3 linked regions of the Rattus norvegicus genome follow. The protein of the gene in region 2 interacts with the protein of the main gene of each other region in a pairwise test. Links are inferred from orthologs where the notes say so. Each region holds a gene or a part of one and is shown on either strand. Other genes may lie near its edges.

Evidence for each region. The genes of interacting proteins can lie anywhere in the genome.
Region 1: the proteins of Pnma1 (region 2) and Spg7 interact in binary tests that used the Homo sapiens proteins (3 or more experiments, as listed by UniProt). The two-hybrid records come from large-scale screens. The link is inferred for Rattus norvegicus from reciprocal best matches to the Homo sapiens genes PNMA1 and SPG7.
Region 3: the proteins of Pnma1 (region 2) and Suv39h2 interact in binary tests that used the Homo sapiens proteins (3 or more experiments, as listed by UniProt). The two-hybrid records come from large-scale screens. The link is inferred for Rattus norvegicus from reciprocal best matches to the Homo sapiens genes PNMA1 and SUV39H2.

The regions. Positions count from the first base shown.
Region 1 is NC_086037.1:68,039,027-68,042,676, reverse strand, and holds part of Spg7 (paraplegin), read right to left. Parts: intron 2,398-3,650; coding exon 2,272-2,397; intron 1,866-2,271; coding exon 1,703-1,865; intron 1,234-1,702; coding exon 1,060-1,233; intron 1-1,059. UniProt on the Homo sapiens protein: Catalytic component of the m-AAA protease, a protease that plays a key role in proteostasis of inner mitochondrial membrane proteins, and which is essential for axonal and neuron development.
Region 2 is NC_086024.1:109,512,856-109,516,456, forward strand, and holds Pnma1 (paraneoplastic antigen Ma1 homolog), read right to left. Parts: upstream 2,313-3,601; 5' UTR 1,819-2,312; coding exon 757-1,818; 3' UTR 527-756; downstream 1-526.
Region 3 is NC_086035.1:79,678,875-79,682,524, reverse strand, and holds part of Suv39h2 (histone-lysine N-methyltransferase SUV39H2), read right to left. Parts: intron 1,950-3,650; coding exon 1,820-1,949; intron 807-1,819; coding exon 700-806; 3' UTR 1-699. UniProt on the Homo sapiens protein: Histone methyltransferase that specifically trimethylates 'Lys-9' of histone H3 using monomethylated H3 'Lys-9' as substrate.

The DNA.
Region 1 (3,650 bases), on a different chromosome or scaffold from region 2:
TGCCCCTTTGCACACACAAATAAACTATATTAATGCAATTTTCAAAAAATCTTTTAAAGATTTAAAAAAATCTAGAAATAGCTCAAAATAAAGTCCACATCTCCCCCACTGGGCTTCTCCATTACAAAGAAAAGCAACAGGAATGAGTCAGTCCGAAGTCTCCTTCACAGTGTCCCACACCTGCACCTCCTAGAACACAAGAATCCCCCACTGTGCCCCACGCTCCCCTCCAAAGGCAGAGACACACAGCAGAGAAATCGGGGGACCACAGCCAGGAGGCCTCGCTGCCAGCCGCCCCTCACAGCCCCAGCTTCCCTGACCACGCCTGACCAGTGAACTTCACTGCAGGTGAAGACCATGCTGAACACGTGTAAAGCCTTGCATTTACTTCCCAGCATAAAAAGGGGAAAGGAAAACTGAATTTCCTTAAGTTGACTTATTTTACATGTATGAATGTTTTGCCTGCAGTTATGTTATATGCACCATCTGTGTGCCTGGTACCCACTAGTTGGAAGGGCATTGGATGCCACGGAGTTATGGAGGTTGTGAGCCATCATGTGGATGCTGGAAACCAAAGCCAGGTCCTCTGTAAGAGCAGCAAGTACTCCTAACCACTGAGCCCTCTGTCCAGCTCCCAAGGCTGATGCGTTTTGTTTTATTTTGTTTTGTTTCTGATGTTTGTTTATAGCCCTGGCTGTCCTACTCTGTAGACCAGTCTGGCCTTGGACTCGGAGCTCTGCCTGCCTCTGCTTCCCCAGCACTGGGAATAGAGGTGTGAGGCACCATCAGGCTAAGCAGTCTTTCTTAAAGGTAGAAAACTGATGGGTAACCAACCCTTCAACTGACTGCTATTAGACGCCAACATCTAGAACATTCTCTGTGTAATGTCCTCATTAGGACAGGAGTGGACAGCAATACACAACAGTGACTGAAGAAAAATACCCTAGGTGCTAGAACAGAAAAGGTGACGAGATTCGTCTGCCCTAAAGCTATGACTCGGACCAGGTTCAGAGTCTCCTGCTGGTGTACAGCATATGGCGAAGCGTGCTGGGCACTGACCGTCCATCTCTACGAGGAGCTGGTTGAGGGTCTGCTCCTCTTCTGTGTTGGAGAACCCGGACATGGAGGTGGAGCGCTTCTTCCCCACAGCATCGATCTCATCAATGTACACAATGCAAGGGGCCCTGGCCCGGGCTTCCTTGAAGAGGCTGCGCACTCGGGCGGCTCCCAGGCCTGAGGAAACAGAGTCAAAAGACAGGTAAAGGAAAGCAACTCCTACTTTTGGGTCAGAGTCCTCCAAAGTGGCCTATGTCTAAGTGGCTGGTTCTGCAGATGGACCAGAAGCAGTCAGCATCTTGCCATCCTGGCCTCCCAAGCCGCAGGGGAAAGTGGAAGTTTCCAAGTTGATGTGGACCAAAGCTTACTGTGGTTTAAGGTAGGTTTCTCTGCGTAGCCCTGGCTGTCCCGGGACTCACTGTGTAGACCAGGCTGACCTTGAACTTAGAGATCGGCTTGCTTCTGTCTCCCAAGTGCTGGGTTAAAGGTGTGCACCACCACCTCCTTGGACCAAAGCTTATCTACTTTCACTTGGGCTGTCTGTCCTTCTCTGTAGCACTCAGCTTCTCATGTCAGGGAGGTTATGTGGAAAGCCAACCCAGGCACCGAGCCAATGAACCTGCCCACACTTTCAGCCCACACCTACCTCCAATGACCTCCACAAACTCTGGGCCAGCCATTGCTAAAAAGGGCACCTGAGCCTCCGTGGCCACTGCCTTGGCCAACAGCGTCTTCCCACAACCAGGGGGTCCCAGCAGCAGGGCACCCTTTGGAACCTTGGCACCCAGCTGAAGGAAACGCTCCGGGCTCTAGGCAGGAACAGACATAGGACTAAGTAGTCGGCATTTAACAGAGACTTTAAGTGACTCACACAGAGGAGCCTGTGACAGTCATGAACGTAGATCACAGCTGCAGTGCGTCCACAAAACAGTAAAGAGCTTCGTGCGGCCCTGGCTCCAAAAGAAAGGACGGCCCAGTTGAAGTGGGCCAGTCCACTCCTCTCTTCTGAAGGACGACTTAGGCTGGCACTGTTAGTTTACCAGCAGACACACACGGTGCCCGAGGTGAGAGAGTCACCCACTCATTCCATCTCACCCAGAGAACTCCCATCTCAAAGCCAAGTGTCTGCTCACCACAGCCCTCCTTGAAGACACGTCACCACCCCTCACGTCACCACCCCTCGCACCTCGCACTGGCTGAGCACACAAGCCTCACCTTCAGATAATCCACAAACTCTCGGACTTCCAGCTTGGCTTCGTGCATTCCCGCCACATCCTGGAAGCTGACTCCTTTCCCCGTCTTCCCGTCCACGATGGTGAAGCGCGCCATTTTAAGCTGATTCTGTGCAGAGAGTCAGGGATGAAGCTCTGCTCCCTGGAGAAACGGAACCAGCCACGGCTGCTGCCTGCCTGACCCGACACAAACTGCTACATCCATCCTAGGTGGGCCTGCTCCTCTTACAGCCGAAAAGCCTGCTCCCGCGGTTACGATGCAGACCACAGACCACCTCAGGCACACACGGGAACTCTGGTTTGTATTGTTTATATTAAGAGCAAAGTCAGGTAGCAATTTATCTTTTAGAAAATTAGAGCTGGGGAGAGGGTTCAGTGGTTAAGGGCACTTGGAATTCTTACAGAAGGCTAGGTCAATTACTAGCACCGACACAGTTTTACAAGTTTGTCTTCCAGATGAGTTCTAGGAGAGTGGACACTCTCTTCTGGCCTCTGTGGGCACTGCACACATGGGGTGCCCATACATGCAGGCAAACGCTCATGCACATAAGCTAAACTTTAAAAAGATAAATGAATAAAAATTAAACTCTCTTTGGGCATGGTAGTTCATGCCTTTAATCCTAGCACTTAGGGTAGAAGCAAGGAGACTTCTGTAAGTTCCATATCAGCCTGGTCCACACAGAGTTACAGGCCAACCAGGGCTGCATAATGAGATCCTGTCTTAAAAAAGAAAAAAGGAAAGGATAAAAGAAAAATACAAAAGTAAGAAAGAAGGAAACAAACATAAAGCTCTCCTCGGTAAGGAGTACAGCCCAGTGGTGGAGCACGCACTGAGCATAAACAAGACTCCAGGGCTAATACCAACACCACCCAAGAAGAAAACACATTCTTTAGCTAAGACAGAAACATGCTCACACTCTGTGAAAACCAAGCGTCACTCTCAGGGTAGAAAAGGAGCTTCCAATACCGCCAGCCCAAGCCTGAGGGATGGAGAAGCCATGGGTGAAAAGTACACTTTCTAAGGTGCAGCGGGAGAAGGGAAGAGAAGGGAGGAGAGAGGAGGAGAAGGTAAAAGGGAAGAGAAGGGAAGAAAAGGGAAGAGAAGGGAGGAGAGGGGAGGAGAAGGGATAAGGGAAGAGAAGGGAAGAGAAGGGAAGAGAAGGGAGGAGAAGGGAGGAGAAGGGATAAGGGAAGAGAAGGGAAGAGAAGGAGGAAGGAGTTTCTCTATGAAATGGCCATTCTTTAAGCTACTTTTAATGTTTCTTTTGTTGGCTAATAAGAGAAACTAGGGAAAGAGGGGGAAAAAGGCCCACTCCCAGCTGATCAGGGACATAGAGAACACAGTGTCCTATGCTGAGTGGG
Region 2 (3,601 bases):
AGCTAAATTATGCTGAAAAATTGTATGCATGTCAGGAAAAAAGAGAATTTTCAAATTTTTTTTGTATCCATCTATTCAATAACTTCAAACTTAGAACCCTTAGCATCAATATGACCAATAATGACAAATATTTGAAGTGAGGAAGTGTAGCTTGTCCAGGGCCATTCCCCCTATGACTTACATCTGTATCTTCCACTGTGAAGGATTTATTGTGCACTCTATAAAAACACATCTTTCTAACCCGCCACTTCTAATCTGGGGATACTTTTCAGGGAAACTGATTCCAGTGTTGAGCCACGAGGAATTAGAAATCTGCATTTTCAAGATGAGTAATATCTAAAAGTCGCATTCTTTCCATGGATACAAATTAGCAACAATTTACAGTAAAGCTGTCCACAGTGTTAGTAACAAATAAATACAAGAGTTTGTAGTGTACAGCCTGTGAACCGGGCATGTACTTAGCATCAGAACTTGCAGTTTCACAAACATCGTGACAGGAAGGATCGCAGCTTCATGTTTCTCACAGCTGTCAGAGATGTCACCAGGAGGGCTGGCATCACTGTAGCACTATGAACCGCCTTTACTCCTGCTAATTACACAATTCTGTGAATGCTACAGGAATATGCGGGCCTGACTTTCTCATCCCATTCCTCAGAAAACAAAACAAAGGCAGGAGGAGGCTGGCTGTTTACTTTAAGGGACAGGCTTACTAAAACTTCACAGGAATATCAAAAGCAGCCTGGCCAGTCCTGGGATTCAGAAGTGCCCCTCTAGGCCTAGCTGCAAAAGGGCAGCCTCGGCCTCCTCCTCCTCCTCTTTGGCTTCCTCCTCTCGAATCTGCACCAGTAACTGGAAGAGGTTGGGTGCAGGCCCTTCTGTAGCCCCAGTCAGCCACAACTGCCTTCGGAGGGCCCCGCTGTGGTTGGCCCCAGCGATGACCTGTTCCAGGCGAGCCTGGTTCACGTTATCTTTATCAATGGCCCCCTTGTCCACTACCTTTTGCAGCAGAGGCTCCAGACGGATAACGTAAGAAGATAACTTTTCTCCTGGGTTTTGGTAAGTGTTCAGAAATCTGACCTGTGCATCTCTAGAGCTCTCCACGCTCCCAAACACCTGCTCAAGAGCCTTCAGGCATTCTGCCGTGGTTATAGCAGGGTTGTTGGTCTTGAGGATGCGAATGACATCGGCAGCCGGGCCTCGCAAACTCTCCATCAACCGCCGTCTCTTTTCTATATCAGACACCTGCCATTCCTCTATGACTTCATTCGAGTGCTCCAGCCAGGAATCAAAGGTCTCCTCGCCAGGCCCGGGAATGTCCCTCCCGGAGAACAAAGTCAGCTTCTTATACCATATGGACTCAACAAGAGGTTGAATAACATTATCCAAAATATAGTTGAGCATCTCTGCTGGCATTTCCGGGCCTGGGGCTGGAGCAGGGTTCTGAAACCCAAGCACACGAGCAACATCTTGCACCGTCCACCCTTCCCTAGCTAGAAAGAGGTGCAGCCTTTCCAAAAACTCCGCGTCGGAAGTGGGGGGCTTAAACACTACTTTCCAGAGCCCTCCTTTGCCTGGCATCTCCCTGGGGATCAGGGAGTAATCCACCGTCCCAGTGAGCTCTAACAAGGCTGCTTTCGCATTTTCTTCCCTCCAGAACATTCTCCCCAGTACTCGATAGGATACCTGGGGCATCGCAGCTTGGAGGGTCTCTTCGATTTCGGTCTCATCACAGTTCACAGGGATCCCCCAGACCAACAGAGCTCTCTGAGAGTTCACATCCATTCCCCTGCACCAGTCTTCCAATAGTGTCATAGCCATTTCGCCCAACTATTAAGAGTGCCAGTTCTACAGACTGTGCTTGGACTGGCTCACGGTGCTGCTGTTGGGCTTAGGACAACATGCTCTCCTCCCCCGGTAGGCCAGGGGGCGACAAGCTTCAAGCAACCACAATTACCAAAAGACACCAGAGTTCCTTCTGGTCCCTTCCGGGTCCCAAGTCAGTGCCACGGGACACTCCGCCTATCACTCGAATGTCGCCCTTTTGGTCCGGGCAGGAGTGGACTGGCTGCGGCTGTGCCTTGCGTCACTGCTTTGAGAAGGGGAGGAAGGTGGGCTCAAGGCGGTTGGCTGCGGGCTGGAGATGACTGGGTGCGGTCGCGGGGCGTGGCAGCTCCTCCCACCTCTCCCTGGCCCGCGGGCGGCCGAGGGTTACTCGAGGCCGTGGCTCAGCTACACCGAGAGAGGCGGCACTCGAAGCACCGGGGACTGAGGCGGCAGGAAGCGCGAAGGAGGGAGGAACCGGGCTGGAGGCAGCTCTGCTCAGCGCTTATGGCCGCGCGCTCCAGCAACGGCCTCCGTGCAGCTGCACTGGAGGGCGGAACCGGTCCGCTCGCCTCCCCCAGTGTCACCGTGACAACTGTGTCCATGACGACGCGAGATGCGCGGGCTCCAGAGGATCTGGCGGTTGCTATGGTGCCAAGAAGGGGTTTGAGTAGTCTATTCTATGATGGTGCATTTCTTTTTACCCCTCCCCCATACTCGTACTTCCCAGATTCCTCCTTAACAATATTGCTAAGCATGTTTTGTTTTATTTAATTTTGCTGTGGATTTAAGTTGGCCTTATTGATACGCATCTACCACGACGGACTTGTCTCATATCCATTCTATGCATTCACTCTGCTGTGAAAACACTAAATCTGACTTCCGTGAACCACCAGATTACAGTCTGCAGCTTCTCCGTTCCTCCCCATAAGACTAGAAAAGAGGATTCCACCTACTGGTTCCTTTGAGTGTCTGACTTGGCTTTCTTGTCCAAAATTTGTGTGTGTGTGTGTGTGTGTGTGTGTGTGTGTGTGTGTGTGTGTCAAAACCTAAAGTTTGTGTGTGTGTGCACACCCTCCCCCCCACCGGATTACTTCTCTTTGTAGCCAAGCAAACTTCTTGTCCTTACTGAGTATACAGGATAGCAAAACAGACCGCTTAAGGCTCAGAAAGGGAGAAGTTCCCTATCAGTCAGTCCCAGCTGGCAAAAACACCCCTATAAGAACATGGCATTCAACAATGACTTTTTTAAAACCTTATTTAATAAAAGGTCTTAAGATACAGAACATTCAAAAGTAAATAAGTTACATGGGTACATTACAATCACATCCGCAAGATTCTCTTTAGTGTATTAATTTTTTTTATAAAAAGCACACAAAAAATAAAATTTTCGGTCTGGTCTATCACAACTGTACACAAAGAGGTAATATTTATATATATGTACACTATTTAATATGTAACAGTCTTTTTTAAAAAGAGTGCCACAGGCAACAAACACATGAAAGGCAGTGTCTGACCATTTTGTTTCAAAATAAAAGGAATATACTTACTTTATGCTATTAAAATATCTGTACAATAATTACAGTCAAGGCTGTTTCTGTGCTGTCCTCTCCAACAAGGCCTTTAATTTAAGAGACAAATGAAGAAGAGCTCTAACAGCTGCAAATTTTTTTTTTGAGGAAACAAACACAGCCAAATGTGGGTTAGACACAACTGTTTTTTTTATAAAAATATGCATACTTCCTGTAAAAACCTAAGGGTTTAGGCTTTGCCAGTCTAG
Region 3 (3,650 bases), on a different chromosome or scaffold from region 2:
AGTGCGTCCTCAGTCACTGTTCTGTCTGTCTGTCTGTTCACAGAAACACAGTGGCCAGCACTACAGAATTCCGAGAAGGTGATCAGAGACTTTTCTTCTGTGGGAGTAAAAACATCTTTTAAGAATTTCAGGTTTAGATACCTTTGTAATGGTATCTATTGCCTCAAAGTAAGATCAAGCTAAAAGTAAATCTTTCACATTTTTTACACCTGAAATATATCATTAAGATGCCAATGTTTTAATGTAAAAGTAGAAAATACAGTAAAAAAATTCAGTGTCACTTATTTGTCTCTGATACAAGATCAGTGAGTATTAAACAGAAACAATATAGTAAAAAAATAAAATTTATACATTTGCCTAAAGTGAGTTCTCTGTTTGAGGCAGGATAAAAGGCTCAATAATAGCTGTGGTCGACTCACTTCCAAAACTAAAGGGACGACTGTCTACTTCGACTCTCGAGTAAGCAAGTGATTTATACAGTTCACTTCCCATGTAACCACCATCTTGTTTACATGGCCTTGCAGTCCTTTTTAGAATCAATAGTAATATACTTGGCATATATCTTGAGCCATGAATTGTACATTAACATCATATAATACAATACATAGGTAATAGAAAGGAGTCCCAAATACTTTTTTCAGTTGTTAGAAGACAAACAAAACAAAAAAACAAACAACGTGAGCTCCACTTCCTGAAATTTCAGTTGAGGTAACCTCTGCACGTCTCAGCTCCACATTTGCATTGGGTTCTGACCCTTTTTCTGGCAGGGCTGTAGTCAATAGAGTCTGAAGACAGTTCTCCAGAACCTGAAAACACAGGAGAGCAACATCTGAGAACAGGGCTGGAAGATGGCTCAGCAGGAAGAGGAGCCTTGGTCTTTTAGAGGGCCAAAATTCATACCCAGCATTCCTGTCAGGCACCTCACAACTGCCTGAAACCCCAGCTTCTGGTCTCCATGGTACCCACATTCACATGGACACACATACATCTTTACCTTAAAGAGATACTTTAGTTGGGCATGATAGCACACACCTTTAATCGCAGCACTTGGGAGGCAGAGGCAGGTGGATCTCCCAATGTGAGGCCAGCCTGGTCTACACAGTGAGTCCCAGGACAGCCAGGGCTGCGTAGTGAATGCTTATTCCCAAGGAAATGAATAGTCCTGCACTTCTGTGACTATCCTGAGACACTTCAGTCTAGCCATCTTGAAAGATGGTGTGAACTAGTAAGAATGGCTGCCATGATGCCATCTACTGACAAAGTCCAATGCACAAGCACTCTTACACATCACCCAGAGCACAGCAAGGAGACATAGTAACGGCAGGAAACGCACACTGTTCATAGAAGATATTCACAGTCACAATACAGCCAACAGAATTAAGCACTGTAAAAAGCCAGATTCAAGAAGGCATAGAATTCATATGTGACTGAAATCATACTTCTAATCCTGTCATATCTTTTAGTAAAAGTTCAGAAACTGTCTATACTTTTGTTAGTGTTATGATAGGTCAAGCTTCCAAACTAGAAGTCTTGAGAAAAGTCAGGCTGCTAGGACTTGGAAGAAAGACCAAGTGCTAGCTTTAGTCTGTGGGATGGGCTCTGGGCCTTAAGCAAGATGACCCAAGCTTCCTTCCACAAGTTCTTTCAGTTTTAAAAAGATCTTTAACTGAGTACGGAATAGTGTGGTTCATCATCTCCACACTGATCCCCTCCCAGTGATTTCCTTCTTCTTCAGTGTTAGTTTGGTCTGTTATCCAAAGACTTGCCTGCATTGTCGTACTAAAGCCCACACCAGTACGATTATTCTTAAAAACCATACCTTTCATTTGATAGTCAAAAGTCAGCTCTTCTCCAGCCTTTATGGTTCTTGTGGAGAACAATGCTATCCTGGGAAGCCGAGTATCAAGGTTATCGATGAAAACACTAAACACCTGAAGATTTGGGTCACACTAAAAAAGAAAAATAAAACCTGTTCAAGTAAAACCGCCAGAGAGGTACCTTCTATGTTCCCTATACAATTGCTAACTGCCCACATGACCATTTTAAGTTGTCCTACAAACTGCACACACACTCAAAATACAGTGTTCATATATAAGAAGATGTTAATCATCCATACAAGAAGTCAGATATCCAATATGTTGCTTCCACAATTAATGAGATTTTGTCTCAGCTTTTTTTTTCCCCTGGAGAATCTTAATCCAATTTCCATTTATAACACGGGCATTTCGCTTTTAACTATTTTAATAAGGTGTGTGTGTGTGTGTGTGTACACATACATACTTTAAATAATTAGAGTAATTTTTGGTTTTGGAGATGGTTTCTCTGTGTACCCCTTGTGCTACCCTGGAACTCATTCTGTTGAGACCAGGCTGGTCTCAAACTCAGAGAGACACCTGCCTCTGCCTCTCAAGTGCTGGGATTAAGGGCAGGCCACGGCCACCATGGCCGCCACCACCACCACCACCACCACCACCACCACCACCACCACCTCCACCACCTGGCTAGAGTAATCATTTTAGAGTAAAACCAGCAGCCCGGAACTCAGGTTTGAGACTGTATGACTTCAGTACTTGAACTCTTACTGGGAGTTGTTCAGCAACACTAAACTACGAACATTCCAGAAGCTCTAAGGAGTCGTGTCAGCTAGGGTGGTGTCTGCCGAGCAGCAGAGCTGGCCTTCTACATTTCAAGGGTCCCACATCTGGACTCAACCAATTACAGAGTCAACTAACTATCAAGTATTCATTGAAAAGAAAATCACCCCAGAGTCCTGACCATGTACAGACTGAGTATTCGTGTCCTTATTCGTAAACAATGCAGTATAACTTTCTATCAGGCATTAGAAGTAATCTACAGATGATTTAAACTGTAAAGAGGATATGTGGGCTATTATGTCTCAAATTTAACATAAGGAACTTGTAAGAATGTTGATCTCTGCAGGAGGCCCTGGAACTAATCCCCTGGAATACAAAAGAATGGCTAAATCTCAAATTTGTCATTAAGAAGAAATTATTTAAAAGAACCAAAGAGGGAGTCCTAACGGTCTCTCCATTTCACTGTGATTCACACACAGCTTGGAAGCGATCTACCAGACAGTTTAACTTGGCTCCATCTACTCCAATCGGCTCTGGGACCTACCCTCTAAGCTATATTCCATCATCTGTCATGCGGTATAAAATGATGATGCTAACAACCTCCTGGCCTTACTGTACTTAAATGATGAAACTATGCGGTATGAAATTGGAGTTCCACTGTGCCAATTTCATTTTGACAATTACTCTAATTACACACACTCTACACACACACACGATCTTTAAAAAGACTGCAGATCTAAGTTTTTCAAACGGAAATAACCATAAATGCTTGAATGATCTAGAAATCTTCAATTTTACTTTAAAATGTTAACATAATGACATTAAAAACAAAATCAAACGAACAAAAAACCCTGTTACCTTTAAGCTGTATCTATGGGAGGATTGTCCAAGATCCTCAGTAGATGCCTGAAACTGCCCAGAGTACCAAACCCCATATATTCTAGGGTTTTGCTCTATGCATATATACTTATAGTAATTTAACTTTACTTCAGACACAGTAAGAGATTAACAACTAACAAAACTGAATAAACTATGAAAATATCTTACTGTACGTTC